4 separate regions of the Mus musculus genome follow, and regions 1, 3 and 4 are each reported to be linked to region 2. The links are microRNA targets in miRTarBase. Many come from high-throughput screens and were not tested one by one. Region 2 holds a microRNA gene; each other region holds the end of a gene's coding sequence.
The links. Region 2 holds the annotated microRNA mmu-miR-26a-5p (UUCAAGUAAUCCAGGAUAGGCU, at 4,704-4,725, shown strand). A microRNA usually pairs through its seed, bases 2 to 8, with sites in the 3' UTR of a target mRNA and lowers its output. Matches are read on the target gene's strand: a 7mer-m8 pairs with bases 2 to 8, a 7mer-A1 pairs with bases 2 to 7 and ends in A, and an 8mer does both.

Region 1: the mRNA of Scrn1 is a reported target of mmu-miR-26a-5p. The part of its 3' UTR that is shown has no 7-base or 8-base seed match.
Region 3: miRTarBase lists Ero1b as a target of mmu-miR-26a-5p. Seed matches in the 3' UTR shown: 7mer-A1 at 867-873 and 8mer at 1,831-1,838.
Region 4: the mRNA of Galnt10 is a reported target of mmu-miR-26a-5p. Seed matches in the 3' UTR shown: 7mer-A1 at 2,104-2,110.

What each region holds. Positions count from the first base shown.
Region 1 is chr6:54,502,675-54,509,787 of GRCm38, reverse strand. It overlaps Scrn1 (secernin 1), which reads left to right. Exons shown (of 8, transcript NM_027268.2): 8 at 426-972. The coding sequence ends at 584. It overlaps Wipf3 (WAS/WASL interacting protein family, member 3), which reads right to left. Exons shown (of 9, transcript NM_001167860.2): 9 at 6,020-7,113. Among named protein-coding and RNA genes, the nearest start is that of Gm52863, 6.2 kb to the left of the region's middle.
Region 2 is chr9:119,027,108-119,034,226 of GRCm38, forward strand. Mir26a-1 (microRNA 26a-1) reads left to right here and starts at 4,689; the gene lies at 4,689-4,778. It overlaps Ctdspl (CTD (carboxy-terminal domain, RNA polymerase II, polypeptide A) small phosphatase-like), which reads left to right. Exons shown (of 8, transcript NM_133710.3): 5 at 3,089-3,145; 6 at 6,429-6,521.
Region 3 is chr13:12,606,153-12,613,271 of GRCm38, forward strand. Ero1b (endoplasmic reticulum oxidoreductase 1 beta) reads left to right here. Exons shown (of 16, transcript NM_026184.2): 16 at 675-3,376. The coding sequence ends at 735. Among named protein-coding and RNA genes, the nearest start is that of Ero1b, 44 kb to the left of the region's middle.
Region 4 is chr11:57,783,987-57,791,105 of GRCm38, forward strand. It overlaps Galnt10 (polypeptide N-acetylgalactosaminyltransferase 10), which reads left to right. Exons shown (of 12, transcript NM_134189.2): 12 at 584-3,515. The coding sequence ends at 742. Among named protein-coding and RNA genes, the nearest start is that of 2010001A14Rik, 14 kb to the right of the region's middle.

The DNA.
Region 1 (7,113 bases), not on the chromosome of region 2:
AGAGAAGCTATGTCATTCTGGAGGAAGGACCTCCCACAGAGCTCTGAAGATGGGGCACAAGTTGGCACAGTGCTGAGGGTGGAAAGAGCCTCCAGGGGACAGAGTCACCTGAGCCATGGGGAGAGAATATCACAGAGGATAGCCATGCATATGGCTGAAGGGATAGATACACAAGGCAAGAGGCCAGTGCATCTCGACTGACACTCGGTAGTCAGGATTTATTCTGATTTCGGACAGCTGGTGGCCGTGCAAGTGTTTCTGAGCAGGCTGGTGCTGTAACCATATTCTAAATCGGCCCCCATGGTGGTGGCGGTTTGGATCAGTGGAGGTGGGGGGGATGGGATGGAGGCCAGGAAGCCAGCGGGATCCCGGGCTGTCACTATCCACTGCCATGACCATTCTGCACGGCTGTGTCCTTTCCTCAGGAGCAAGGTCGCACCCTGAGGAAGACCATGCTGGAGTTGGAGAAGCAAGGCCTGGAGGCCATGGACGAGATTCTGAGCAGCCCCGAGCCCCCGGACCCCGCCGAGGTGGGGGACCTATTCTATGACTGTGTGGACACCGAGATGAAGTTCTTTAAGTGATGTAAGCACCCTCACCCTTACTCAAAACTTCCCACCCGACTAAATTACCAGCAGATAAACACTCTTCTGTGTGAGTAAACCGAGAGTTACCATGTGGCCTCCTTGTGTCTAAATGTTCCCTCTGTTCAGCTTAGCAACCCTCCCCCCTTTGCTATGTAACGCGATCCCATTTGCCTCTTGCTCCATTGTGTGATAAGCTATGGGCTTGAAGATGTTCTTATATTTCAGTGACAATGGACACCTTAGCTTCTTATGAGGAACTTGAGTTCCCTCCGCCTTGGACAGGGCTGCAGGGCCACGCTGGTGGGAAAGACAAGAGCTGTGAAGGGCCTGGTCCCTCTCTAGATAGTGGTTTCTTTAGGGTTAACAAAAGGCTTTTGTTCATACCAAAGGCTTTTGTGTGTGGATGGGGGAGAGCCCCCCAGCTTCCTGCCACAGAGCACAGGCCTGTATGTAGCTCATAGTCCCCACAATGTCCTGGGAAGGAACAGAGGACTGGTACAGTCCCAGCTCTGCTCTGGTGTATGCGATTTTTGAAAGACCTGTCTTCTGTGAGCTGTGCTCATGTGCAGTGGAGCAGACCTGCTTCCGCCTGGAGGAGAGCTGGGCATCCATGTTAGCCACAGTTCCTCATCCACAGTGCTCCCACCTGAGGACCTGGCCCTGTGTGGAAATTGATTGGGATTTGATTGTCAGCAACTTGTATGAGATTCATTAAATGGCCCTGGCATACAGCCACACACAGCTGCAAATCTCAGCCAAAGAGGGAAAGGAAAGGGTCGCTCTTGACTGCTGAGAGCATAGCTAATGTACCTGGAATCTGAGCAGCCCTGGTCTCAGCAGAGCCTGAAATTAAACTCATTTGTTTCCAGCATCCGTGTGTTTGCACAAAGGATTTGACGCCACAGGAGTGTGTGAGGAAGACAGGGCGGGCTGAGGGCAGAAGGCAGTGAGACATTTATCCACAGAACAGTCTCCCTCGTCCCACCCACTGCCTCGTTAACTAGATCCCACATCAGTGTGCTGAGTACCTGACCTCCAGGATCTCCTCCACTTTGTTCTCACACCCCACTGCCCAACAGATTCCTTTGGATGCTGTCTGGAACAGGAAAGAGGTATAGGTGCCTATCCACTGCCACTCTGCACGACTGAAGGGCCAGGCGTAAAGATGACTGACAGAAGTGTAGACTAGAGGAGAGGCTAGAGAGCATGTGCTGCGGGGCCTAATTATAGGTCCTCACTCTTGACAGGGCTGAGCAAACAGAAACTGTCCACCAGTGATCTCAAGCATGGCTTAGGGCTGGCAGGGACCTGAGCCCTCATTTCACAATGTGATTCAGGCTACAGGTTTTTTTGGGGGGACAAATCTTGTTTCTCTTCCAACCCGAGAGAGAGAGAGAGAGAGAGAGAGAGAGAGAGAGAGAGAGAGAGAGAGAGAATGTCTACTGTGAGCTCTTTCCTTGATTGGTTTGTGGGTTCCATGTATAAACAAATGGCAAAACACAAGAGATGGGACAAACTCATGACAAACTGGTATCTCTTGCTGATGGACAGAGGGACACAGGTAGAGCAGCTAAGCTGAAAGTGCCCAGCAGGTGCAAAGGGGAAAAAGAACAAGGTTTGAGGAGGAAGTAGTTGCCTGTCCCAGCCTCATCTGCTGAGCTCTTTAAGGAAGGTGGTGCAGAAAGCCGTGCTGTGCTTTCCCTGTGTGGTCTGCCCTCCACCTCTGAGGCCAGCTCATCAGATCTGACCTGCCTGAGACAACCCAGGTAATTTGGGGTTTGATCAGAGGTCTAATGGTAGCAAACGACACAGCGACCTTCTTCATTACTTTGGCCAAGGTTGAAGATGGCTGTGACGCTATTATGCAGGTGTGCACTAGAAAACCCAGTGGTTGTTTTTATTATTGACTGTAGTCCAGCATCACGGAGAAAGGCCAATCCTCTTAGGAGCATTGGACAGCTCAACCATGTTGTCATCTTACCACCAGAGGGCACAGCAGCCCTCTAAGGGTTTTCTCCTCCGGCAATGGATAAGGAGCCCAGCTATGAAAGCTTTGCTTACTGGGATGGATGGGGGCAGACAAGAGGACAGTAGGGAATCTGCCGAGGTGCCCGCACGTACTTTAGTGAGTTTAGCCAAACTAACAGCAGAAATAATACTGGATTTTGAGTAAGCAGACTTAGGAGAATATTTGTTTTAAAATTCATGTAACAGATTTCCCTTTGAAGAAACACTTCTGACATGGGTAATTTCTCAATCAGGGGTCACTTTTATGAACAGCATGCAGAAAAATAGATCTTCGGGAATGTTTAAGATCGATCAGTAAATAACTTCCCAGAAGACCACCCTATGTCTATTAAGCCTGAGGGCAGGGGATCCTGAGCACACTTTGGGCAGAAATAAGTCACGATCATGAAGGATGGACTGCCTGTCTCACCTGTCCCACAGAACCTAACCTAAGCTAGCTAGTGTTGTGGAGATGAGATTTGCAGTAAATGAAAATGGCAGCCTAGCTGGGGGCAGACACCCGAGTGTCTACGTAAGGTAGTAAAGTGGAAATAGTCTTTGCTCATTCTTGGGATGCCTGAACGCTAGCTAAGCATCTGATAAACGCTGTGGAGACTTAGCCCAACACAAGCTCCAGTGTCTGTAGGAGTCGGCCTCACAAGCTGATGAAGCAGCTGTACGCCTAGTAGAGCTCGGTGGTGACGCTCCCTTACTCTTAGATGAATCAGTAGCTGTGAAAATAACTGTCACCACAAAATTACTGTCATCGAACATTGACGCAGGTGATGCTACTCTGGAAGGACCTCAGGGCAGCCAGGTGTGCGTGTCTTGAAATTACTGACTTGAGTTCTTGTATCACAACTAATTTCAGCTGAGAGTTCAGCCTTGGGAGAAAGCACACCATGGTGGGAGAGGTGTGGCAGGCATTGCTCGAGCATCCTGGCTCTCCCATGCCTCCCGCAGCCGCGGCATTTCATTCTACATGGCGCTGAGCCCCAACTCCTGTCCTGTGGTGTGTGTCACACGTGTTTTTACTGACTGAAGCCAACCATCCTGAACTGTCATGCAGAGAATTCTTGCAGGAATCAATAAGGACGTGTCTCTAATCACGTGTGCGAACTGAAATGTCATAGCTGAAGCAGTATAACAGAAAACCTTTGTTTCCTGTGGGGGGAGGACTGAACATGTGGTCTTAACAGCCTTTTGTACAGATATCTACAAATCAAACGATGTCTCTATCCAGTGCTTGCCCTCGGAGTGTCTTTAAATGCACCAAGTGTACAATAAAAACATGGAAGTCAATACCTAGGAGCCTCTTGTTTGTGTCTCATGGACACAGTCGGCACCAGTCACAGCACACACGTATGAGGGACTGGGATTTTCCGGTTGGAATCTTTAGAAAACTCAACCACCTCTTGAGGGCCCTACACTATGCATCTCTACAAAGACAAATTCGCTGTTTAAAAATGAAGCCCAGCTGGGTGTGGTGGGGTACCCTTCTAATCCCAGTACTTGGGAGGCAGAGAAGCAGACGGATCTCTGAGTTCGAGGACAGCCTGGTCTACAATGAGAAACCCTGTCTCCAATAACAATGAAAACACCCCAAACTATAGCCATATGCCACTCTGTCAGAACAGCAGCTGTGAGAACAGCGGCCGCAGTGTGGGGTGCTGGAAACATCAGGCATTGCTGGCAGAAAGAAAGGTGGCTGTCCATTGTAAACTATGGAGACTTTCTCATAAACTGCCACGTGACCCAGGAATTCTGTCACCTGGTATGTACCAAAAGATTTGAAATCAAGGCCCAGAAAGATGCCTGTTCAGTCAGCTTCCTAGCTTATTTTATTACTTACCTATAGATGGATGGATAGATGGATGGATGGATGGATGGATACAGAATGTGGTATATCAAGGCAATGGAGTACTACTCACCCTTAAAAGAAGGCAATTCTGACACATGCTACATACAATCTGTATCAACATTGCGTTGGACAAAATGAATGTCATAAAAAGACATACACACACATATCTGTTTACATGAAATATTTAGAAGGCTCAAATACACAGCCCTTTTGCTTTCCAGAGTGTGCCCTTACTTAGCTGCAGGACCCAAGTGTTCAGAGCTTGACAGTGTGTCTTTATCACTTTACATCCTAGCTATGCATTTACCTCCTGATTTGCCTGATGGAGAAACTGAGACACACCTAAGTAATTTAATCCCCAAAACTCAATAGGTTCATATCCTGGTTTGCCTTTCGACTCTAGTCCCAGTGCCCTGCCCCTCCAAGCTCCCCTCCCCCACCATAAACTTCATCTTCCTTTTTTCCCAGGCTTCCGTGTCCACTAGAAACATAGCTGTGGAGGGGAGCGGCCCCTGCTTGACAGAGGAGGCTTTTTTAAAGGGCTTGCTGAGTTGCAGGGGAGAGACTAGGGTTTTAGGTTGGAGCTTTCCTTGGTGGTAGAGATCTTGCCTATATATATAAGGCCCTAGGGCTTATGTATAGTCAATCCCTAGGACTACAAAATAAATACTTAAAAATTAAACTTTTCTCATTTCAATACATTGGCAGAATTTAGAGGCAACATTCTTGACCCATACTATAGTAATAAAACTGGTAAGTATGTTGTTTTCTATTTTAAAAATGTGTATGGAAGGCACACACACACACACACACACACACACACACACACACACACTAGCATTTTTGGTGTTCCAAGGGCTAGAGGGATGGCACAGTGATAACTTTTAATGCTTTGGGGACAAGACTTATTTCATCAGCAGAGATGGGAGACTTGGACACAGACCTAGAGAGAAAGGAACGCTGCTTCAACCAGACTGAGCTTGGTGCCTGGGTACCCAGTGATGAGCCAAGTAAGGTAGGCAAGTGCAGGCCAGGAGACACACAGCTGCATGGTTTAGTTCTAGCCATTACAAAGACTGATGTCAAAACTGACCTTTGATGCTCTGGGAAGCCCCTTTTTGTTGGTAAAGAGAGGCAAGTAGACACAATGCTCTGGGACAGGGCAGAATAGGGCCAGAGGACTCAAGTTCAGTTCCCGACAAGGGTGTTTGGAAACTCACAACCACCTGTCACTCTAGCTCCAGGGGATCTGACACCCTCTTCTAGCCTCTATAGGCACCTGAACACATGGCCTATACATATATAATCATACACATAAATAAAAATGTAGTTTAAAAGGTGCTATTCCTGGTGTTCCAGAAAATCACTGTCCTATGTTTAAGCGTTTCTGATTTTTTAAAAATGTGCCTTAGTACTTAAAGCCTGACTGTTACACACTGTATTCCCGTACCACAGCCTCACACCATATCCCAGAAACATGTGTATTCATCACACGTCAATCAAAAAGGCTTAGATCAGTACTGGGGATCACAGATGAGTTTTCACAGGGAAACAACCACACGCATTCTCACTTATTAAAGTTTATTAGGTACAAAGGAATAAATCCACAGCAGGGAACTTCAATAAAATATAAAGAACATTGGGTGAGACATCGGGGGAGTCACAGTCTGCAATGTGAGGGTAAGCAAGGCTAGCAGGGGACCTCTCCACATGTGAGTTCATGGCCAGGGGCCTAACCCATGCGCTGCTGGTGGGTACTGAAGGTACCCACTTGGACTTGGAGGGGTAGGCTCCATGACAGGCCTTGAGCTGCTAGGCCAGATCCCTGAGACCGTTCCTCGCTTGCTATTTTTGGTTTCTGCATGTTCCTTCCTTCTGACCTTAAATAACTTTGTAAAAAATATTTATGTGTCGTGTTTGTGTGTGTGTGGTGTGTGCGTGTGTGTGCATGAACAAGGGCACATGTGTGCACATGCATGTGGAGGCCCAAAGGCCATTCACAGGAATCTTTTTTGGTCTATCTCTACTATCAGTTTCTCACTAACCCTGCAGCTTGCAGATCGCTCATTTTGTGAGGTTGGCTGGGCACTGACCTTCCCAGGATCAGCTGCCTCTACCCAACTTTACCCACTCCTCTACCAAGGATTACAGACATGCACCCCTATGCCTGGCTTTTACGTGGGTGCTGGGGATATGAGCTCAGGCCCTCATGCTTGGGCAGCAGGACGTCTCCTGACAGAGACATCTCCCCACTCGTGAATAGTTTAAATTCTTGTGCCAGCAGTGTAGAACATGGTGTCCTTCAGTGTACTGGGCAAACAGACTACTTCAAAGGCAGGGCTGCCTTCCAGATGGCCCTTGTCGTAGTTATGAAAGCTTTTTAATGATTATTACTTTGCGTGGCTGGGAGAAGAGTAGACTGGATCCTGACCTTTCTGCACACTTCCAGAACCAACGCAACAAAGTCAGCGTTGAATGGAACCTTCACCTCTGTTCATGTGGCTGTTACAGTGGCTTGAGTCCTTACCCCAGAGATGTTGGAAACTTGGCCCTGGCTCAGTTTCACCTATCTGGAAGCATGTAGGACATTTGCTCCATATGACAGTTAGGTGTCTGCAGACACTCTCCTTATCCTTTGACCCTGGATGGCCTGGGCTG
Region 2 (7,119 bases):
GCTTGTGACTGCTTGTTATAACTTGACTCCTCAGGAAGACACCCCAAGAACTCAGGGTGACGGTTAGACCTATCCTGTTACCCAGGTGAATATGGGCTGCAATAATTGATTATTAAGTCACTGGCTTGAGGAAGCCCATTGGCTGGGCTGCCAGTGTCTCTGAGATCTCACCGTTTCCTTGAGATCTGGGCTTCCCCACTCTAAGCCCTGTAGAAATGCTTTTAGGTTCAAGTGGCACAGGCAATCAGGGCACCAGGATGTGACGTTTGTTGAAGGAACTGGAGCATTGTGCATTTTGTTGGGTGGTGCACCGGGTGGGTAATGTTGAAAACTGTCTGGTAGCCCTGCTGTCCTGGGAATGTTCCCAGATCAATTTTTGAACAATGGTGGGTAATGTGGGAAACTGTCTGGTAGCCCTGCTGTCCTGGGAATGATCCCAGATCAATTTTTGAACAATGTCCAACTGGAAGGACGCCTTCCAGAGTTAAGCATCCGAGTGGCCTGGGCGTCCATTCTGATCATTCTCATGCTGGGTTTTCTTGTGCCCTCACAGCTGACAGAGCGCTCACCTTCACAGCCCATCCCAGTGGGTGCGGAGCTGTGGTTAAACTATGTGAAAATGAAAGTCAGGGGCTTTCTGATCTCTATCCCTGCTCCATCTCATTCGGGAGGGAGCGGCAGTGGCTACATTGTTAATTCACCGCTCCAAACAAGTAGAGTTGTTTAGAAGAGACAAATGCTGGCACATGTGGGTGAGTGGTGTGTTGGGGAGAAGCAGGGGGCATACGAGCTTGGTTCTCATCTTTCTGGACTATTCCCTGTCAATAAAACTATTCTACCCTGGTCAGTCTCAATATGTTCCTCATGCCCCACTGCCTTGGGATGCCTCTTACTTCGCTGAGAGATGCAACTGGCTCCACCCATGATGAGTGTCTCAGCGTGAGCCCTTGTCATTTCTGGCAGGTCATCAGGCAGAAGAATCATTAGATTTACCTCGCATCTTCTCAACGAAGGCTCAGCACGAGGCCAGGAGGCCATCTTTAAGGGCTTGGGAATATAGATAACCTAGCAGTGAGAAAGGACCTCGTTCTAGCTGCTGAGGCTTGTAGGACCACCTCATTACCCAGCATTCCAAGGGCCTGGCTCTTCCAGGATTGTGTTCCTGGGGCCACAGTGGCCTGGAGTGCAAGCTTGGTTCTAAATGACATTGCAACATTTCCCTTCTGTGAAACAAGCAACTGGGGGCATCAAGCCTTTCAGAGCAGGGGTCAGCTTCTGTCGCAGCATAGAGAGTGCCCTCCCAAGCAGCTGCGGACAAGCTGCCCAAGATTACCAAGGGTTCCTGGCTCCAAGGCCAGGCCTTGGCAGCACTGGTGTCTCTGACCAGAGGGCATGGCCTCCCCAAGCTGTAAATAAAACTCCCTCATTTCTTCTCTGGCCTCACTACTTTTTAAAATTATCTTTTACTTTGTTTTATTTTTCTATTTTTGCACTGAGTGTGGATGTGTGGGTGACACAGCATGTGTGTAGAGGTCACACTACACGTTTAGGAGCCCGGTCTCTCCTCGCACCGTGGGTTCCAGAGATCAACGCATGTCACCAGGCCCTGTGTAGCACTGAGCTATGTCTCCTTGCTGAGCCATCTTGTGGGCTTGGACCAGGCTGCTTTTGCAAGTGGAATGTTCCTCATGATATTTAATGTTTTCTGAGCATTTCAAAGTCTCTTGGGGATGTGTCCACCGTGAACCCCTCTCACGTGTGACTCCCGAGTTCGTGGAGTCGGGAAAAGCTCCGGCTTCAGGGTGGTATCATCACGCAGTGCGTGGGAGTTCACGACCACACTTGGAAGCTAGGAGCCATTTCTCCTCTCTTACTTCACCCCGTGCAGAGGGATTTCACAACCCAAAGCCTTTGACAACTTCTTCTTCAGTTGTTTTCTCTGATTTTCGTAATTCTATATTTCGGTGGTAACATTATGAAATTTTGAATTCGTCCCTCGCCTTCCTGTCCTGGAAACATTAACTTCGGGCTTAAGTAGCGCTCCCGCATCTGAGCATTTAGTCGCGGGTCTAGTCTACCGCAGTCCACAGTTTTCAGTGTATACGTCAAGGGAAATGTGTGGTGCACTGAGGGGCTTAGATGTAGACCCGGTTTACAGTCTGACCAAAGGTTCTGCATGTCCTTCACCACCCGGTGGCCACCATATGCCCAAGTCGCTCTTTCCCTAACGTCTGCAGGGTGACAGTTCTTTTGAGCCTCTCCGTTAAGTTTTCTAACGTGTGGGATTCCATTTAGAACTGCTTATGAGCCCGTTGTTCAATGACTGTGACTGCTGAGGTAATATTTTATTTTTCAAATGTGTTTAATACTAACCAAGGGTTAGGTTAAATGCCTGTGAAGTTGTAGGTAAGCTGTCTTGTGTTTCTTAGAACAGAGCAGTTAGGCTGGCCGTCCTCCAATCCCAGAGTAGGAAACCAGGCCAGGCCACCAGGCAGGGCCTGAGGCCTGATGGAGCCGTGGGGACCCATCGCACCCACCACCATAACAGTTGAGGAGCAGATGCTGAAGTCCAGAGGGGAATGTCTACCCAGGATATTCGCCTGTGGCATCTGGCTTTCCGCCTGCTGTGGCTCTGTCCTCTGAGCATCCTGTGCCAAGCTGCCCACACTCTGAGTCCAAGGACAAATTGCTTTTCCAGTGGTAGTGACAACTGGCCAGCAGGCATTCATCTCTGCCCCCTGGTGGCCATCAGTGGTCCGTCCCCGTCCCCCCGTCCCCCATCCTGTCTGGGCTCCAGGCTGGAGTCTGAGCAGCCCCATTCTCTTGCCAGACTATGCCACCCTTTGCAGTTGAGGCAGGCAGGTGTCCAAGAGATTGGGCTAGATGCTGGAACTCCAGGACACTCAGGACAGGAAGAAATACTCCTTCCTACATGTTTATTTCAAGGACCCAAGGCCTCTGCCAGCATCCTTGTGAACTATTTCCTGCCATCGTCAAAACATTGGTCCAGGCAAGCTTCTTTCTTGCTACAATTTCCAATTTTCTCTTTCCTTTCATATGTATTAATCACAATTTCTTTTCTCTCTAGCCCATTAGTAATGCTGACTTCATTGTTCCTGTTGAAATCGACGGAACCATACACCAGGTAAGGAACCAGAGTTAGCCTGCAGTTCCAGAGAGCATTTTCTTGTAACCACACTCCCTGGGAACATCATTTTTTCAATTCTCACTTCAGTGGCCATTTTATTCTAACTTCAGGAAACAAACTTTGTATAATAAGTATAGTAAGCCAGGCATGGAGGCAGAGGCAGGCAGATCTCTTGAGTCTGAGGACAGCCTGGTCCACAAAGCGAGTCCTTGTACAGCCAGGGCTACACAGAGAAACCCTGTCTCAAAAGCTAAATAAAAATACTGTGAATGATTCTCTGCCTCATGCATGCATTTGCTTTTTACCGTGTTTATGAGGACCCTTTTCTGTTAATAAATATTAGGTATGATCTCTGATTTGATTTCAACTTTTAGGAGCCTTTGTGCAATCCCCTAGTTGTCCCCACCGCTGGCCGGGTTTGACATCTGGTCAACTTCATCATGCATTTGCTTTTGGCTTCTCCTAGCAACAGGAAAATGCCACCAGTCACCCACTGACGGAGCATTCTTGGGAAAAATGTCCACTTTGATGCCAACTGCTCCCGTGAGAGCTTCTCTGCCCATGTGGTTTTCTCCAGTGTCTTTTTTAGCAAATACTCAACCCAGAGCAAAGGGGAAGGGTGTGTTAAGACCAGCAGGGTGCTGTGCATAAATTGTCATCGTCAGCTGGCATCAATCTTCTTCCGGTTTTTGGGGTTTTCTGTTTTGGGGTTGTTTGTTTGTTTGTTTGTTTGGGGGAGTTGCTTCTTCTTTATTTTTTCTTCGTCATCAGCAAGCTCTTCTGGAAATGACTTCGTCTATGAATACATTAGAAACATGGTAGAAAAGCTCGCCTTGGAGGTTAAGGTAGATATAGTTTTGCCACATGTTTCTTAGGAGTGATGGGACAGACTGTCTCCCCCATCAAACTCAAGGCCTTAAGGGGAGAGTATCTGGCCTCATATCCCAGGAAGGGACAGACATTTCCTGGTTCCTGGGCCACACAGGATGTCATTTCTTAACGATGCCAATAAGGCTCCTTAACTCTTGAGTGCAGTTTAGAACAATCCAGGGCTGTGAAATCAGCTGTTTTAGCCATTCCGTTGCCCAGACAGAAGGTTATATATGACAATCATCAGGATAAGATTTCCTGACTCCTAAGCCAGGGCTCTTTCCTTAGACTTGGTTCCCCCTGTCTCCCTTACCCCCACCTAGCTCTCTATCCTGTCCTACAGGACATAGGACCTGGGAAGGTTTCAGGCACCTGGTCACTTACCATTCACAAAGCACCAACTGAATTAACTCCACCCCCGCCATGCAGTTAGGACCTCTGCGCTGGTTGTTGTGTCTAAAGTCGAAGAGTCCTTGAGGTGAGGCTCAGGAGGACTGCCCAAGAAAATAATTCTTCACACCACGTGGCCACAAGCACGTCCGGAGTGCAGGACCCACCCCGGCTTCCCTTGCCCCTTCTCTTTGGCAGTAGACACCCCGGGCATCAGGGCTGGGAGCAGAAACTCCAGAGAGAAGGAAGGTACAAAAGCTGGAGGACCGAGGCCCTGGCGAAGGCCGTGGCCTCGTTCAAGTAATCCAGGATAGGCTGTGCAGGTCCCAAGGGGCCTATTCTTGGTTACTTGCACGGGGACGCGGGCCTGGACGCCGGCATCTGGGCCCAGGAACCTCCTTTCTGCTAAAGGCGGCAACAACAGAGTTTCCCCCGTCCATCTCCAACCCTTTGCCTGTAGCCAAGCTTGCTGGCCAAGCAGTCCTCCCGGAGACTCAGGACCGGAGGCCACACCCAGTCACTGGCACCAGCAACAACGAGTGTTATGAGCAAAGCAGGTCCTGCAGCTGCTACAGCCACACAGCTCTGCCCTCAGCCTAGCCCAACACCCCAGCTCAGCAGGATCCTGGTGGCACCCAGGATAGACCACCTATATTCCTCTGGCCCCTCTCTCCACCCTCAGCTGCAGAGCCAGACCCCCAACCCACTCCTAAAGCTAGCCAGCCGCTTTCTCTCCAGGTCTTTGCCCTAGGAAGCGCCTTTTCCTGGCATGCTGCAAAGCAGTGTTTCCATCTAGGAAGTCTGTCCTGCAGTGTGTTTTCCTTGCATGGGGTGCAGTCTTGTGTCTCCTCTCCCTTTCCGCAGCCCCCTCCCCTGCTCTGTCTGCCCTTAGAGGCCCTGTGGCTTACTGCTACCTTTAGCTCTTTACCTTAACTGCTTCCTCCCTGAGCAGCCTCCAGGGCTTCTCTCACTGCCTATGGTTGGCTGTGGACACAGGCTTTGGCCCAACACAAACCCAAGTGTTGTGACGCTTCCGATCCTCACGTTCACACTTTGCTCGGGTTGGAGGCTCAGCTCTCTCTCTCTCTCAGCGTGTGAGCTCCTCTTTATTCAAGGTCAAGGCCAGATGTTGCTTTCTGAGACGCCCTCTGGAAGGGAGAATTATCTTGAATGAATACCCCACTGTGAGATTTCTTGTGTTCACTAATTTCTGTCAGTGTGTGCTCAAGACTGAGTGAGCTGAGCCGGCAAGGCCCACCACACGAGTCTCCAGAGGATTGGGGGCTCCAATTCAGCCTTGTAGCTGAACTGAGCACAGCGCTGAGACCTGGTAATTATGTTTTATTTTAAAGATGTAGCTAACTTCTAGTGGAATTTACTCAAGTTTTAATTGGTCCCTCCCTCTGCCCACTGCCTCTCCCTGGCTTTGCTTTCTCTCTTCCAGTTCCTACACATTCCTTTAGCCTCCAGAGACTGCAGCCTGGGTGTTAGGTGAAACCAGCTGCTTCGCAGGCCTGTCTGGTCTGATCAGAAGGATACACAGAGCCCAACTGTGGGAAGCAGCCCCTTACCCATGTGAAGTGCTTTCTGTACCCCTACACAAGCAGGGTGACCTCCATGGTGTCCACTAGAAAGTTTTCAAGTGCATTAACCCCAGGGGGCAGGGATGTTCAGAGTTGGAGGCCGCAGCTAGTCCTAGACTTCCAGAAGGACAGCACCTAGGCTGTGGCCTGTGGCCACATAGGGGCTGACTCAGCAAGTGCCAAGTGGATGCATGAGCAACTGCGACTGGACATGGCACAGCTGTGCTCTGCTTACTGGCTCCGAAGATACTCAAGAACCTTGACGACGTGGTCGGCTTTCCTTTCTCTCTACAAGGGTTGAGACGCAGAACCTAGTGCAAGCTTCAGTAAATCGTACATAGGCCTGGCAACAGGAGAAGGGCCCCTTGGCAGTTCTTCCAAGGCCCACGCTGTCCCTGGATGCTATGACTGACAGCTCTTGTCTCCTCCCACCGCAGGTGTATGTGCTGAAGCGACCTCACGTGGACGAGTTCCTCCAGAGGATGGGGCAGCTCTTTGAGTGTGTGCTCTTTACTGCCAGCTTGGCCAAGGTGCGTCCTTTTCGTCCTGCATCCTGTGTCCTGCATCCTGCGTCCTGTTCCCAGCCGTCATCCCAACCTCTCCACCCTCCACCACACCCCCCAAGCTGCCAAGAGCCCTTTGTTAAGGTGGAGGAAGCTATTTTTACGGTGACAGGTTCCCACCCCAGATGCGATAGATGCAGGCCATGTGCACACTGCTAGGCTGAGAGGTTTCTGGTTACCATGGTGACTGGGAGCATTTGGAACAAATGCTCCATGAAGTTGCTTTATGCAGCCACCTGAAACCAGTTATCCACAGACAAAACCACAAGACCCGTCCATTGTGACTGTGGATGGATGCAGGTGTGGGGGAGTCTCCCTCACGCATTGAAGAGCAGCCAGATTTTAGAGTCCCTGTGTCCCCGTGTTTGATGGCCACAGGTTTCAGGGAGGAACAAGTTAAGAGGCAGGTGTCAAGTGTCACTGGCAGGCACAGAATGTTGGGAGTTCTGATAGCCTTGGGAGCTGAATGGTTTCTGGTAAATTCCTTTACCTCTGGCACATTGGTTTCTTCTTGTCTAATTGGGGATAATTCCATCTGCCTGTTAGAGTTCATTAAATGAAATGG
Region 3 (7,119 bases), not on the chromosome of region 2:
TTGACAGGTGGACACTGTGGCTAGGCTGTAGAAGAAATAGCAGGTTCGTTAGGTTAACCCTGAGTTCATAAGGGAGAGGAACTTGTAGGTTCCCATTCTTCCAACCCCAGGGTTTGATGTCTGTGTTTGAGCTCTTTATTTATTCATTGAGCCAGTAATTACTTGTACAATGCCATAAGTATAGACGGGTACTGGGAGTGGGAGGGACAGTGTAGACAGTGGCACTGTGTCCATAGTTCATCTATAGGCTTTTTGTGGTTGTTTCATTTTTCAAGACAACGTTTCATTGTGTAACCCTGGCAAGTCCTGTAACTTACTTTGTTGACCAGGCTGGCCCCAAACTCAAGAGATCGGTCTGCTTCTGCCTTAGTGCTGTAGTCAAAGGTGTGTATGTACCACACACCTGCCTCTCATGGATGGTCTCAGTGTGAAGACAGAGTGGTTTCTGTTGCCCTTTTAAGCATGCCCAAAGGCCCACAGCTCCATGACCTGTCAGCTTTAGTAGGAATCACAGCATTTCTCTTTTAAATGGAATTGTCAGCATTCAGTGTTTTGGTTCTTTTAGATTCTTTGCTTCCAGGTTATATAGCTCAAGGAAGCTGTATTGGCTATTTCAAGTCTGTGTACAGCATGCCCTCTGTATGTTCTAATATGCACTTGTTTTCCTCCTATAGACTTTCTACAAGCATAAGAGAATTACAGAACTTTAAAGCGTTGTTGCAGCACAGGAGGTAATGAAGACTTTTCTATGTCTTCATAGACATAGCAGACTGTATGAAGCCTTTTAGCCTTGGACACTGGGCAAAGAGACTACATGTCTAAGACTTCAAGAATTCTGAACTCTTTAAGAGAAAATTCAAATGTCCACTTGAATATTTATGATCTTTAATAGAATACCAATTAGAGATATTTATAAATGAAGTATATCCTTTAAAATTGTAAGTTATACTAATGCCATGTTTGTTTCACATTTTGTTTGTATTGTATTACTCTGCATTTCTAGTTGTCAAACTTTAAATGACTGTCTATCCTGAGAAGACTATTCAATCTGTTGTAGAAAAAAAGAACCAGGGAACCAGTGTTGCCTAGAGCTGGTCCCAGTGACAGAAATCTATAGCTGGTGTAGTTAGTGTTTTAGACTTGCCTAACACTGTGTGCCATCCTCTGTAATGCAGGGCTGTAACTATAGTGAATAGGCCTTTCAGTGACTAGCGAGAGGTTCTGGATGGCTTCCCAGGGCTTCAACCCTGTTACCATGTTTAGTTGCTGTTGCTGCTGTGGTTTTGGCCTAAAGGGACCTGCCTTGGTGAAGGTGGGTCAGTGCCCTCCCGTGCTCACTTGGCCCGTGTACCCCAGCCTGGCTCAAGAGTAGAGTGTCCTTTACCTAAAGCCTACAGCTCCCCTTCTGGCTTTTCTCTTTGTTCCTCTTCTAATTATAGACATTTTCAGTTGTTTTATGAAAAGCCCTATTTATTTAATGGATTTTTTTCTTCACAAAATTTGAATGGGATCCTATGGGTTTATAATGCTAATTGGATTACACACACATTTTGCTGTTTTAAAGTAAGCATTTTCAATATTTGATTTTGAACACAATCTATGCAATCCTCTACCTCTTTTGTGCGACTGTCTGGTGAGCTGCTTCAGCACGGCTGTCACTTCCTCCCTGTCCCTCCATCTTCAGTTCATCCCGGATCAGCCATCCTTGGTGACTCAAGACAGTGGAGGACTAAAATGGCCCTAAACTGCCATTTTCTAAACCCGGGATTTAAAAAATCTTTAAATATTTTAAATCTTGGTTCTTTTAAAGGTGGCAGTGTATAATGGGATTACTTGAAAGGTTTTTATCTATGCGAGTCCAAAAATCTCGCTTCTCCTTAGATTCTGTCTTTCTGGAGTAAACAGTAAGTGCTCTTAAATCCACATCCTATCTGCCAAAGTCTTTACTGTGTTCCTTGTAACTTCATGGTGTAGGCCAGATTATTAAGTTGGCTCATTCCCCTCTGAATGCCTAGTCTTCCACTACAGAGGTGTGATGAGACCTGAGGCCTCTATGATTATTTCTGCTCCTCATTCCTAATCTTTATAAACTTAATGTTTTGTTGATAGTAGTGAATTTTGTCGGTTGATTACTCTTTTTAAGCTGGCTTGAAGTTTTCTTTTTTCTTTGCTTTTTATTTTTTAAAGAGTTGCAAGTATTGCCATGTGATGGGAACGGGCCACTCTAAGATAAAAAGCCCACCAAGTGAATGCCAGTGACCTTGCCTTGTACACCAGCGGGTTCTGTAGTGCCCATTTAGAATGTAAGGAAAGGTGGAAATTTTGCACTTTGTCTATTTTTATTTTAAATGTGGAGATTGTTTGGAAATGTCACTTATCACCACTGCAGTTAGATGCTATTATTTAAACTATTTGCTTAAGGGGGGAAAAATCTTCATTTCCACTTGCTGAATTTTTCTTAACTATGATTTGTTCCAAGCTTAGGACACACAGTAGTACAGTGTGTTCTAGGAAGTTGAAAGAAATGGTTGTTAGAATGAATTCCTTCAGTAAGGGAAGTATTCTGAAGTTGGTACTCACTGGATTAATTTTTAAATACGTTAGGGTGTGTTGGTGTGTGCACAGCGACATCACCATGACATCTGAGGACTGTGGACTGTGGGACTGTTTGGTGACCCTGATGATGAATCTGTAGGAGGCTATCTGCCGGTTCTGTCACCGGTGCTTGGGGGAAATTCAAGCACTGCTTACATTGTGAGATTGCTTGTGACAAAACACTTGCTGTTTGTCTGTGTCTCATCACCTGCTGTAAAAATCTAGCACTTGACAGCAAGCCTGACTGAAAAGATTGTACCTGGTGCCATAACAATGTGAAGAGGAAGTGTTTTCATTGGTGGCCTGTATATTCCTTTAGTGGCATCCATGTTATACTAAAATGGCCCATGCTCAGTACTCCTCTTGTTTTGGATTATGTGGAGGATCAGCCGAACAACAAGATAATCAATTTTGAAACTTGCCAACTCAGATGTTAGCCCCTGTATTTTGTGTATGAAATGCTGTGCTGTGTCTCTTCGACCCTGCCTAGGTGCCACCATGTGTAAGGAGGGACAACTGTGCTGGTCTTCCTCAGCACTGCTTCTCAGCAGTTTGCAGCCTGAAGTTCCTGCAGGAGCCCTTAGTAGTCACCAAAAGGCTCAGACCAGATACACGCTGTCACGGAAACTCCTTGGTCCAAACCAAGTACATAAATCCACGTGTCCTTTATTTAAAATGACATCTACAGGTGCAGCTTTGAGTTTTCTGAGCAGAATTCCAAATAATTTGCTGTTGTAACCACTGGAGTCTGAACCATGAATTAAAATACATGTTTCTGCAATCTTTTGTTTCTTTGTTTTTCCCCCTCCTCCTTATCAAGGGCTTCTTATGAGACTGTGTTTATAATTTATGGATTGGAGGAAAATAGACTTCTGCATAGTCTGGAGGGGACTCTCCTTGCAGTCATAATGGCAGCCGTTGGCCGTGTGTGCTGAGGACTTTGCATGGAGCGGCACACTAGGTGGTAAGGACAGGTGTTTCCTAAAGCATGAAAACAAATGGGGTCTGAGACTCAGCCAGAGCTTGCTATTCTATTCTAAGCTCAAGGCGTGTAGAGCCTGAGCGAACCACCAGAGCCTGTACTGATAATGTGGACTTAATACCATTCAATCAAAAGGTAGGAACAGTATTCTATGATTTGTATTGAGTCATAGGCTTAAAAAATGCTTGTTTTATTTAACTTTCCAAATAGGTGGTACATTCACATGGTTAAAAAACACAATATACACTAATACCACAATGTCTTCCCAGTTTCCCATAGTGCACACACATGTCCTCTGTCCCTGGCTTTTTGTATTTCCATCCACACACTCCTTTTTTAAAAAAATGCCAACATATATACATATAAAGCCTTATTTCTCTATTTGCTCTTATTTTACTTGGAGTAATACCACATACACACCATCTGCTTTTTATCACCTAATTATTGCAGTAGCCATGTACCACCAGAGAGATAGCCTTTTCACTTTATTGGTTGCTTGGTATCCTTACTATGGCTATGCCAGTATTTAGTTGAGTGGTACCATTCTTGAGCATTTGAGTTGTTTCTAGACCTTGTCCACATATCATGTCACATTTGTATATGTACATTTCTAAGTGTTCAAAGGTGAAAGACCACACACACTTGTAGGCTTGAGAGGTACTGACTTGGACTCTGCCCTCCACAGGGAGGGACTAGCTCAGCTCATGTACATGTGTGCTTGCTCATCCATGGCCTCACCACCAGAGACAGTGTTCAAATGCTAGATTTGGACATTCTGATAGGATGGAAATTTAAAATGTTCATTTTAAAAACTAAATGTATAAAATTAACAACTAACCCTTAATTTGCTTGGTGTTCTTTGTGCACTAGACCCCACCTTTTAGAGGTGTTCTTCAAGCGTGATGGGCTTCAGTCTTCCAATTTGTTACGTGGCTTTGTTTTAATGGTTTTACCATGCTGTGGTATGGTCTCATTTCCTATACCAGTTGTTTGATCCTTTGGATCCTAGTACAAAATACAGGTTAAAGAAACCAACCTAACTTTACATAGGTGTAACCTGTTTGGTCCGGGAACTCTAGCCATTTGTTCCATGACTCCTTTGAGGAATCATGTAGACAGGAAGATCTCTGACACCTCTATGGACCTAGCTCCTTATCTAGGTTATGTTTCCATTTCATCAGTCCATTTTCCTATATGTACCAGTAGACATTGTTTTAATTCAATAATATTGAATATTAGCCCTTGGTCCTCTCCAAGAGACTGGAGTGGAACTTTTGATGGACCTTACAGGCAAGGTTAGTAGACCCTGAGGTCACTTGTGACGTAAGATGCTATCCTACTGTGTGCTCAGCTTTTAAGAAACCGGTGTTAACAGTCACCCTTACTTACCCTTGGGTTTCCCTGTGCCTAGCTGTAATCTCAAGTCCTGTACTCTCCGTGTCTCTGACCAACAGTAATGAATGGGTGTCATTTGCTGAAAACAGCACACACAGAAGTTGAAAGCAATCTCCTAAAGCGAATATCCACCACGAATGTTGAACACAACATTTAAATATTGCTCGATAAACAATAGTGTTTGAGATACTGTTTTCTGGGTCGGTTGGGGTTAATTGGAGTCCGATTTAATAATCCCTTGTAAAACGCTGTTAAAGATTTCTGTTATCCCTCATTCCTTCTCCATGTTATGCTTTCTGGGCTGCTCAATAGAGAACAAAGCCCTTTGTGACAGATGAACACACAGTGGGGATAGATTTACAAGACAGTCTTCAGGCAGGCACAGATTTAGACTCGTGTAACACACAGAGGATGAAGACAGAAGACACAGGGAACATGAAATAGAAAATAAAATCTGAGCTTACTCTTGGTTAAATGACACCAAGGGGAAACGCTTTCTTTCCTTAATGTGTCACCAACACGTTATTGGTGATTTGGAATTTATTATTGTGTTCAAACTGACTACACGCTCTCCTTCCCCTGCCCCATTTTAGTTTTCCTAGATACTATAGATTTTCATGATTCCACGTGAGCTTTGAAAAAACTCCTCCTAGCAATGCAGAACTGTTTTCTGTTGTGGGTCCCTCCTCCCCTCCCTTTCTTTACTTACAGGGTCGTTAGTGTCTCAGACTATCCTCAAAGTCCCTATATAGCCAAGGATGGCCTTGAACTTCTGATTCTTCTCTTTGTCTCCCAACTTCCAAGTGCTGGGACCACAGGTATAAACTGCCAAGCCCACTTTATGCAGTGCGGGGAACTGGACACATGGGCAAGCATTCTACCTACAACTACAATCTTAGATTAAAGGTACTTTTAACCTCTTGAACTTAACTGTTAGAACGTAAAGATCATCTTAGATTTTCTTTTCAGCTACCTTGGGTAGTTCTGAGTTCTTGCTAAATGGGAACATTCATAGAGGTCCAGCACACCACCATGGAGTCAGAGGTCATCTTGTAAGACGAGCTGGCGGGCATGGTGGTGCACGCCTTTAATCCCAGCACTTGGGAGGCAGACAGAGGCAGGCAGATTTCTGAGTTTGAGGCCAGCCTGGTCTACCAAGTGAGTTCCAGGACAGCCAGAGCTACACAGAGAAACCCTGTCTCGAAAAACCACAAAAAAAAAAAAAGAAAAAAAGAGTCCCCTCCATTTATTTGTCCAAAGAGTTAGGTATCTGTTAGAGACTCGCACAGCAGGCCTGAGAAGACCCTGTTTATCTGAATGCATGCACTCTTATGCTTCAGTTAGGGTCTTGAAGGAAGACCATGATCGGCGAGTGACTAGTGGGTGTCAGAGTCATGGGTAACAGTTATGTAAACAAGAGTTGAGAGGGAAGAATTTTGAGGCTCATATGAGCTGAAGAAAGTGAGTCTCTGAACTCCAGTTCTGAGGAGGCTAAAGTTCAGAACATATGCTCCACTCAGGTTATAGAAAATCAGAATTTGAGGGGTGAACCAGATAAGGCTTAGGGGAAAAGAAGACACTAGTAAGCTATCTGCATCCAAACATGGAGGCAGATGAAGGTTTGGGGAGGTAGGTGTGGATCCTATAGGCATTTGGATTCAATGAGTCCATATTGAACACAGAACCTACCCAGGGCAAGAATGAAGCAAAGGCATAAGAAGTGTAATCGTTTGGGACATAGGGATGGCCACAGCAGGGATCAGGTATTTTGTTCCATTGGGAGAGGGTTTTTCATGTGTCCTGCCAGGAGCGGAGAGGAAGTTTATGTGCGATTCTCTTAGTGTGGTCTCAGATCCAAACTCATGACAACTTCCCAGTCTAACAGAGGCACCCAGTAGACTAAATTCCATTGTCTGTCTTCACAGTTCCATTTTAAAAGTTTTCTCACTTCAATTGTCCTATTTATTTAGTCTTTGATGAGAACTCTGATTTGAGCCTGCTCCTTTTCCTAACAGCTCTCCCATCTGGATCCACCAGAAGCTGTGGATAAAGTAAACCGCATACTGATGTGTTTCTGCATCAGTCTGTTGTTTAAATTGCTGTCTGATAAGAGTGAAAACAGGATTCTTTTTCTACAATAATTGGCT
Region 4 (7,119 bases), not on the chromosome of region 2:
AGGACAGGAACCCAGACTCATGCATTTTAAAAAGGAAGCCATGCTGGGGTATGGTGGTGTCCATCTTAGATGCCAGCACTAGGAAGGAAGAGGCAGGCAGCTCTCGGTGAGATGGAGGCCAGCCTGGTTTACATACAGCTCTAGGTCAGTCCTAGTTGCATAGCAAGACTCTGAAACAAAAGGAGAGAAAGAAAAAAGAAAGGGAGAGAGAGAAAGGAAGGAAGGGGGAAGGAGGAAGCGTGCTCTCACGCATTCCGTGCAGCAGGGACGCAGTAGTACTCTGGTTAGAAGCAGGCCGTGCTGAAGGTCCCACTTAGAAGTGCATTCAAGCTGGGCAGTGGTGGTGCACGCCTTTAATCCCAGCACTTGGGAGGCAGAGGCAGGCGGATTTCTGAGTTCGAGGCCAGCCTGGTCTCCAGAGTGAGTTCCAGGACAGCCAGGGCTACACAGAGAAACCCTGTCTCGAAAACAAACAAAAAAAGAAGGAGCATTCATCATGAGGTGACAGGAGACGCTGGGCCTTGCTTCCTTGTTGCTGTCATGGCTCCTGTGTTCCCCCACTGACAACCTTCCTGTTCTGTAGGACAAGACGCTGTACCACCCTGTGAGCGGCAGCTGCATGGACTGCAGCGAGAGTGACCACAGGGTCTTCATGAACACCTGCAATCCCTCCTCCCTCACCCAGCAGTGGCTCTTTGAACACACCAACTCGACGGTCTTAGAGAATTTCAACAAGAACTGAGTCCTTAGACCTTGACAAACCCCTCAGGTTCCTGTGGAGCTCATAAACCTTCCTCCTGTGGGAGAAGAGGCATCGGTGGGCACCAAGGTGCTGGGTTCTTGAAGGACTGACATGGTGGGGCCACGGGGAGAACAGACCATACCAATGGCTCTCCAAGAAGGCGGAGCCTGCTCACATCATAGCAGAGCTCACCAGCCTGTCAGCATGTTCCCTAAGTGTTAGGAATCGCCTGGGCAGCCTTGAGCCATGAGGTTGCCCTTGCAGACAGGACAGTGCCCTAGAAAGGAAGGTGGTATCGGCCTTGGGACAGCTTAAACCTGTGTGCCAGCTGCTGGCAAGGAAGTCTGCCTGTTCTTGAGGGAACTGCTAGAATTGCCCAGCTTCTGTGTTGGTCCAGGGCAATGAGAGGCCATTGGGACTTCCGAGTGCTCCATAGCTAGCACTGGCCAGCAACCAGGCGAGGGGCCCCTTCCTCTGCAGCCAGATGTAAAGGATGTCTCCCCTGGCTCTCTGGGTATTTCAGATGCCCGTTCTAGTTTCAGGGCTACCTGGGCACCAGGTCGTCAGGGCTAGTTCAGCCGGCTAAGTAGACCTCCAGACCGAACAGCTCCCAGCCAATGCTTCCAAAGCCCTTTCTCCGTGCTTTTCCTTGGCGGCTCCCTGCCTTGGAGAGGAACCGGTGCTGTGAGGGATCACCTCCAGAGTCTCCTGGGGGGTGGCTTCCCCCAGATAATGACTGCTGTGGTTCCAACCTCACAGAACCCTGGAGTTTCTGGAAAGTTCTGTGGTTCTGTTGAAAGCATAGATGAGCCATGGCACGTGTGGGCATATAACGCAAGCAGCCAGGTGTCAGGCAACCCCTGACCCAAGCAGAGGCGGTAGGGCACCAGAAGCTTCGGTCCAACCCAATGCCGTCACAGCCACAGCCTCGTGAGGTGTGAGGACATCACCTTTAGCCCCATGTCTCAAACATGAACTCACCCTCCAAGGAGCTGGTCACTTGCCAGTGAAGTAACTGAGACATGGTCCTGAGGCCAGAGCTCTGCCTTAGAGATGCTGGGATCGGGGTCATCGGGTCCCCAGGCTCGTCGGGTTGGTGCTGTAGAACCACCTCCACGTAGCCCCTGTGCTGTCACAGCTCACTTGTGGATTTCTAGTGCCCTTTTCCATATGAGCACTCTGTCTGACAAGTGGCCGGCTGGGAAGGAGTCAAAAAGGGGAGTGGGTGGGTGTCCAGAATCCAGCAGGGATGCGTGTTGCAGCCAAGGGGAGTTGAGTCCTCAGAGAGCAATGCGGCCTTGTTTCAATAAAAACCGTGCCTTTTACAAAGAGAAAATGCAGCCGAGCAGCTGATTCCCTAAACTTGAACCACTTACTAGTGCCTTGCTAGACAGACAGACAGACAGACAGGGGAGCGTGGAGAAGGGACACTTATTCGGGTCCTATGAGCCCAATGAGTGTCTTTACGTCTGACTTCAAGCAGAAAGTGCAGAGCAGAACCTGAGACCCAGAGGCCCCCACAGCAGGGACAACTGCCTATTTGTGCGGCCCTCCCTGAGACAGGACAGCTCTAGAGACCTGACAAGCCCAGAAGTGCTCTGCCTGAACCTCACTATCAGGGGCGAGCTGAGCAGCTGGGTTTCCAGCGGATGCCGAGCAGGTGGTTAGGGTGGTTAAGGCAGATGCTGCCGCAAGCCATCCCTAGCCTCACTCGCTCCCTTGCTCGCCCGATTCATTCCATCCTCATCTGGTTCCGTCCCCTTCTCCAGCAGTCACTTCCTCTGAGCGCACCTCAGCATTTGTGACTGCTGAACTCTGACCTTAGAGCCTAAGACTTGAGGAGGTGTGTCACAGGAAGAACCAGGTTGGCTTGGTGGCTGGCTGCAGATACTTAATCCCCACCTTGTTTGGGCTTCAGGTGTGGAAATCCTTGTCCTGAAGAGTCAGGTTTCTACTCTGCTGATGGGCCTGTGCCACAGCCCACGCAGCAGGCCGGGCGGCTGGCCTCTTCCTCCAAAGCTTTATTCAGAGGCTAAGACTACAAAAACAAGATGTGGTTAGAAAGGCGGCCTCCCCTCCGCCCCGGAGATTCCAGAAACATTTTGGAATGCAGTGTCCTTGCCATGAGGCCATTGTGTGGCAGGCAGGCTGTCTTACCCTGCCCTGCCAACTAGAGCTTCTGGCTTTAAAAGCAGCCAGCAATGATAGATCTTGCGTTGCGGCAGTGAGCTGCTCTGATGGGCGGCCTAGTGGATCTCCAAAGTCAGCATCATGACTCCCCTTCAGTCCTTCCTGTCACGCTCCTCCCTGCGTGGACCCCTCGCTTCAGCAGTCCCTACTTCTCACAGAGGAGACTGTCTGCATCCAGTGCTCAGGGCAGCCTGTTTGTCTAAAGTCAGGCAGTGTGAAAGGAACAAAGAGTGCAATTCCACCCTGAATTCATCAGCACTTGCCGCTGAGGCTTTCTCCGGCAAATCCTACTCATATTTTGGTTCAAGGTTTTGATGCTGAGCCAGGGCCCTGCTGCCACCATTAGGTGAGAGTGGTAGCTACATCCCAGGTTTCAAGATCTTAACGCGGTCCACTCAGCTCTGACAGGGAGTCCAGGGGCTGCAGGCAGGGAAGCTGGGCACTGAGACAGGGTTCTGGGGGCGGGGGAGGGGCGGATCCCAAGACCACCCACCTCTCCTGGAAGAGAGAGCCTTGTAAGGAATGACTTATCCTGTTCAGTTGTGACTGTGGTTGTTCAATAAACCTCCAGACTTTCTCTAAAGCAGTGTCTGGCATGTCCCTTGTCACCTGCCTTTCTGTCCATGTCCTCAGAAGACTGAGTGCCTGCCCAGCGTCCAGATGTCCTGCAGGGTACTGAATGGAATCGAGGTGCTGCCATTTCTACAGGGGAAGGCAGGCCAGAACAAGGGTGACTGCAGTTACAAAGGGCTGAGAAGGAGAGCTAAGCTGGCTGTCTTAGAAACTGGGGTGAAACCATCGTGAAACTGTCAAGAAATGCTCCTCAGGGCTGACAGACCAAGCCAAGAAGAGGGCAGAGAGCAGCCCCTGCAAAGGCCACGAGACAGAAAGGGGCTCAGGTCTGGAGGAACACAGGGGTGAACTCGGCATTCAGCCTTCTAGACTAGACCAGAAAGAGTTCCAGAGGGCAAACAGAGCTCACGCATTAGCCACAAATAACCTGTTTGCCAAAGTGTTTCTGGGCTGTTTAGCATCTGTAGAACCATGATTAAAACATCTACAGTGAGATCTTGTGCAACTCCTACCCTCTTTAGGCCTTCGTTCACAGTGAAATGAGCAGTGCTTGAAGGTTTGGTCCCTGAAGAACCCTGAGCAGAAACTGTTCCTCGTGTTGTCAGGTAGCAACCACCAGAGGGCGCTATGGACCATAGCTTGGAGAAGGTCATGTACCAGGAAAGCAGGTGAAAGAAATAGATTGACAGTATTCTTAAAGGTACACACTCAGAGATGTCTCAGCAGTTAAGAGCATCTGCTGCTCTTACAGAAGACTCAGGTTTGGTTCCCAGCACCCACATCACAACCATCCTTAACTCCAGTTAGAAGGGATCAGATACACTGATGTCTGTCACCTCCTCCAGAACCAAGCCTGCACGCATGGTGCCCATGCATATACACGGGCAAAAGCATGCCCTAGAATAAAATAAATCCTGTTTTTAAAAAAGGCTTTTTAAAGGGCTGGTGAGATGGCTCAGAGGTTTAAAGCACCTGTTGTTCTTGCAGAAGAGCACATGGTGGCTCCCAGCGGTTTTTAAGTCCAGTCCCAGGAGATCCAGTGCCCTCTTCTGACCTCCATAGGTACCAGGCTGGTACATGGAGTACAGACATGAGGCAAAACACTCACATTAATAAAATACTTTTTAAAGAAAGTTGTCTTTTTTAAACTTTCTTTACCCAGAGAATTATGACCCGATGGTGAATGAACAAGAAAAGCTTCCAGTGCCTACTGTATGCAGATGCTCAGATAGAAGTTGAAAGATGGCGGGTGTAAGCAAGATCCAGAGTGAATGGCTTACAGGATCTGCACCCCCACGAGACCCTTATTTGCCCTCACATGGTCCAATTCCCAGGCTTTGCCAACACGCATAGAGATGCTAGATTATTCATTTGCTTGCTTGTTAAAACTGAATATATGCGGGAGGGGGGGTGGTGCACACCTTTAGTCCCAGCACTTGGGAGGCAGAGGCAGGCAGATCTCTGAGTTCAAGGCCAGCCTGGTCTACAAAGTGAGTTCCAGGACAGCCAGGGCTATACAGAGAAACCCTGTCTCGAACCCTCCCCCCATCAAAAAAAAAAAAAAAAAAAAAAGAATGGCCCCATAGACTCTTACGGTGGAGTTGGGGGTGGGAGGGTTAAAGGCCCTGAAGGGGATAGGACAACAGAATCAATTAACCTGGACCCTTGGGAGCTCTCAGTCTGAGCCAACAAAAGAGCCTATGCAGGCTGGACCAAAGCACCCCCACCCCCACCCCGGAACATATGTAGCTCAGTCTCTATGTGGGTCCCCAACAGGGCCACCTGGTCTAGCCTCAAGGAGAGAGAACACACCTAATCCTACAGAGACTTGATTGGGGGCAGGGGGTGGGCTGGAAATGTTGTTATGGTCCAGCATCTGTCTGCCTCCCTCTTCTCTCTCTCTCTCTCTCTCTCCTCCCCCCACTTCCCCTCTCTCTCCCTCCCTTCCTCCCCTTGTGGATCAAGATTGTAATTCAGTGGGCCAGGGAGTGGTGGCGCATGCCTTTAATCCCAGCATTTAGGAGGCAGAGGCAGGCAGATCTCTGAGTTTGAGGCCAGCCTGGTCTACAGAGTGAGTTCCAGGACAGCCAGGGCTATACGGAGAAGCCCTGTCTCGAAAAATATTATAACTCAGTTCCTTCTCCAGCACCACAGCTGCCCTCTGCCATGATAATAGACTAAGCCTCCGACTCCGAAACAACTTCTGTGAGCCCCAGTACATGCTTTTTTTTTTTTTTTTTTTTTTTTTTTTTTTTTTTTTTTTTGGTTTTTCAAGACAGGGTTTCTCTGTGTAGCCCTGGCTGTCCTGGAACTCACTTTGTAGACCAGACTGGCCCCAAACTCAGAAATCCTCCTGCTTCTGCTTCCCGGGTGCTGGGATTAAAGGCGTGCGCCACCACTCTTGGCCATTAAATGCTTTCTTTTACAAGAATTGCCTTGTCATAGTATCTCTTCACAGCAATAGAACAGTGACTAAGACACCTACACACTGGGAAACTGAGGAATGTTCGGGGAAGAGCTTGCGTAAAAGCAGTGGTTGATGGGGCCAGAGAGACACCTCAGCAGCTAAGAGCACCCACGGGGTGACTCACAACCAGCTGCAACTCCACTTCCAGGGGATTTGGTGCCTTCTTCTGGCCTCTATAAGTACTAGGTGTGTACTTACAGAGTGCACACACACACACACACACACACACACACACACACACACATGCAAAATACTCATATACATAAAAAAAACCCAGTGGTCGGAGCAGGCATTAATAAACAGGTGCGGAAGACTGGGGGTGTTGGGTAGCAACAGCCACTGCCCAGCCGGAAGGGACAGAACATGGTCCCTGTCCTCTGTGATTTCTGCCTTTGGCATCAGCTCTCCTGAACTCCCATTCAAATCCCCCTGAAAAAGTAAAGCCCCTGGGTAAGGGCTGGTGAGATGGCTTAGCAGGCCAAGGTGTTTGTGGTACAAACCTGGCAACCTGAGTTCCAGCCCCAGAGCCCACATGAAGGAAGGGGGAAAGATTTAACTCTAAAGGCTGTCCTCTGACCTCCACACGGGCTCTGCAGCACACACATCACACACACAAAATGTTAAGTAACCCCCCCCCCCCGACTTTGTTGTTGCTGTTTTGAGGCAGGGTCTCACTATGGAGCCTTGTCTGGCCTCTCGCTAGCAATGTCAACCAGGTTGGCCTAGAACTCAGAAAGATCCACCTGCCTCTGCCTCCAATGTGCTGGGATTAAAGACATGCATACTATATCCAACATGGATAATTTTGTTTAGATAACTACTCAAGATAACTATATAAGCGCTTGGGTTGGGACTGAGGCTCAGGCTCACCACTAAGCCATCAGAAAGCACCAGGGCTTGGGTTCAATTCCTAGTGCAGAAAAGAAAAAGACAGACAAGTGTACAGGTGACTCCAGAATGTTTTTAGGATCACTCAGCTACCCGGTTTAAATGAGGACTGCATGCGTTAATGATCGACCCACGCGCGATAATAGCAAGACAAGGGACAATGGAAGGAGCTGGGCTTTGTGACAATGCTGCTGACCTTGAGCTGTGACTCCAGCTGAGAATGCTTGCTGTCAGGAGGTTAACCGTAATCCAGTAATCC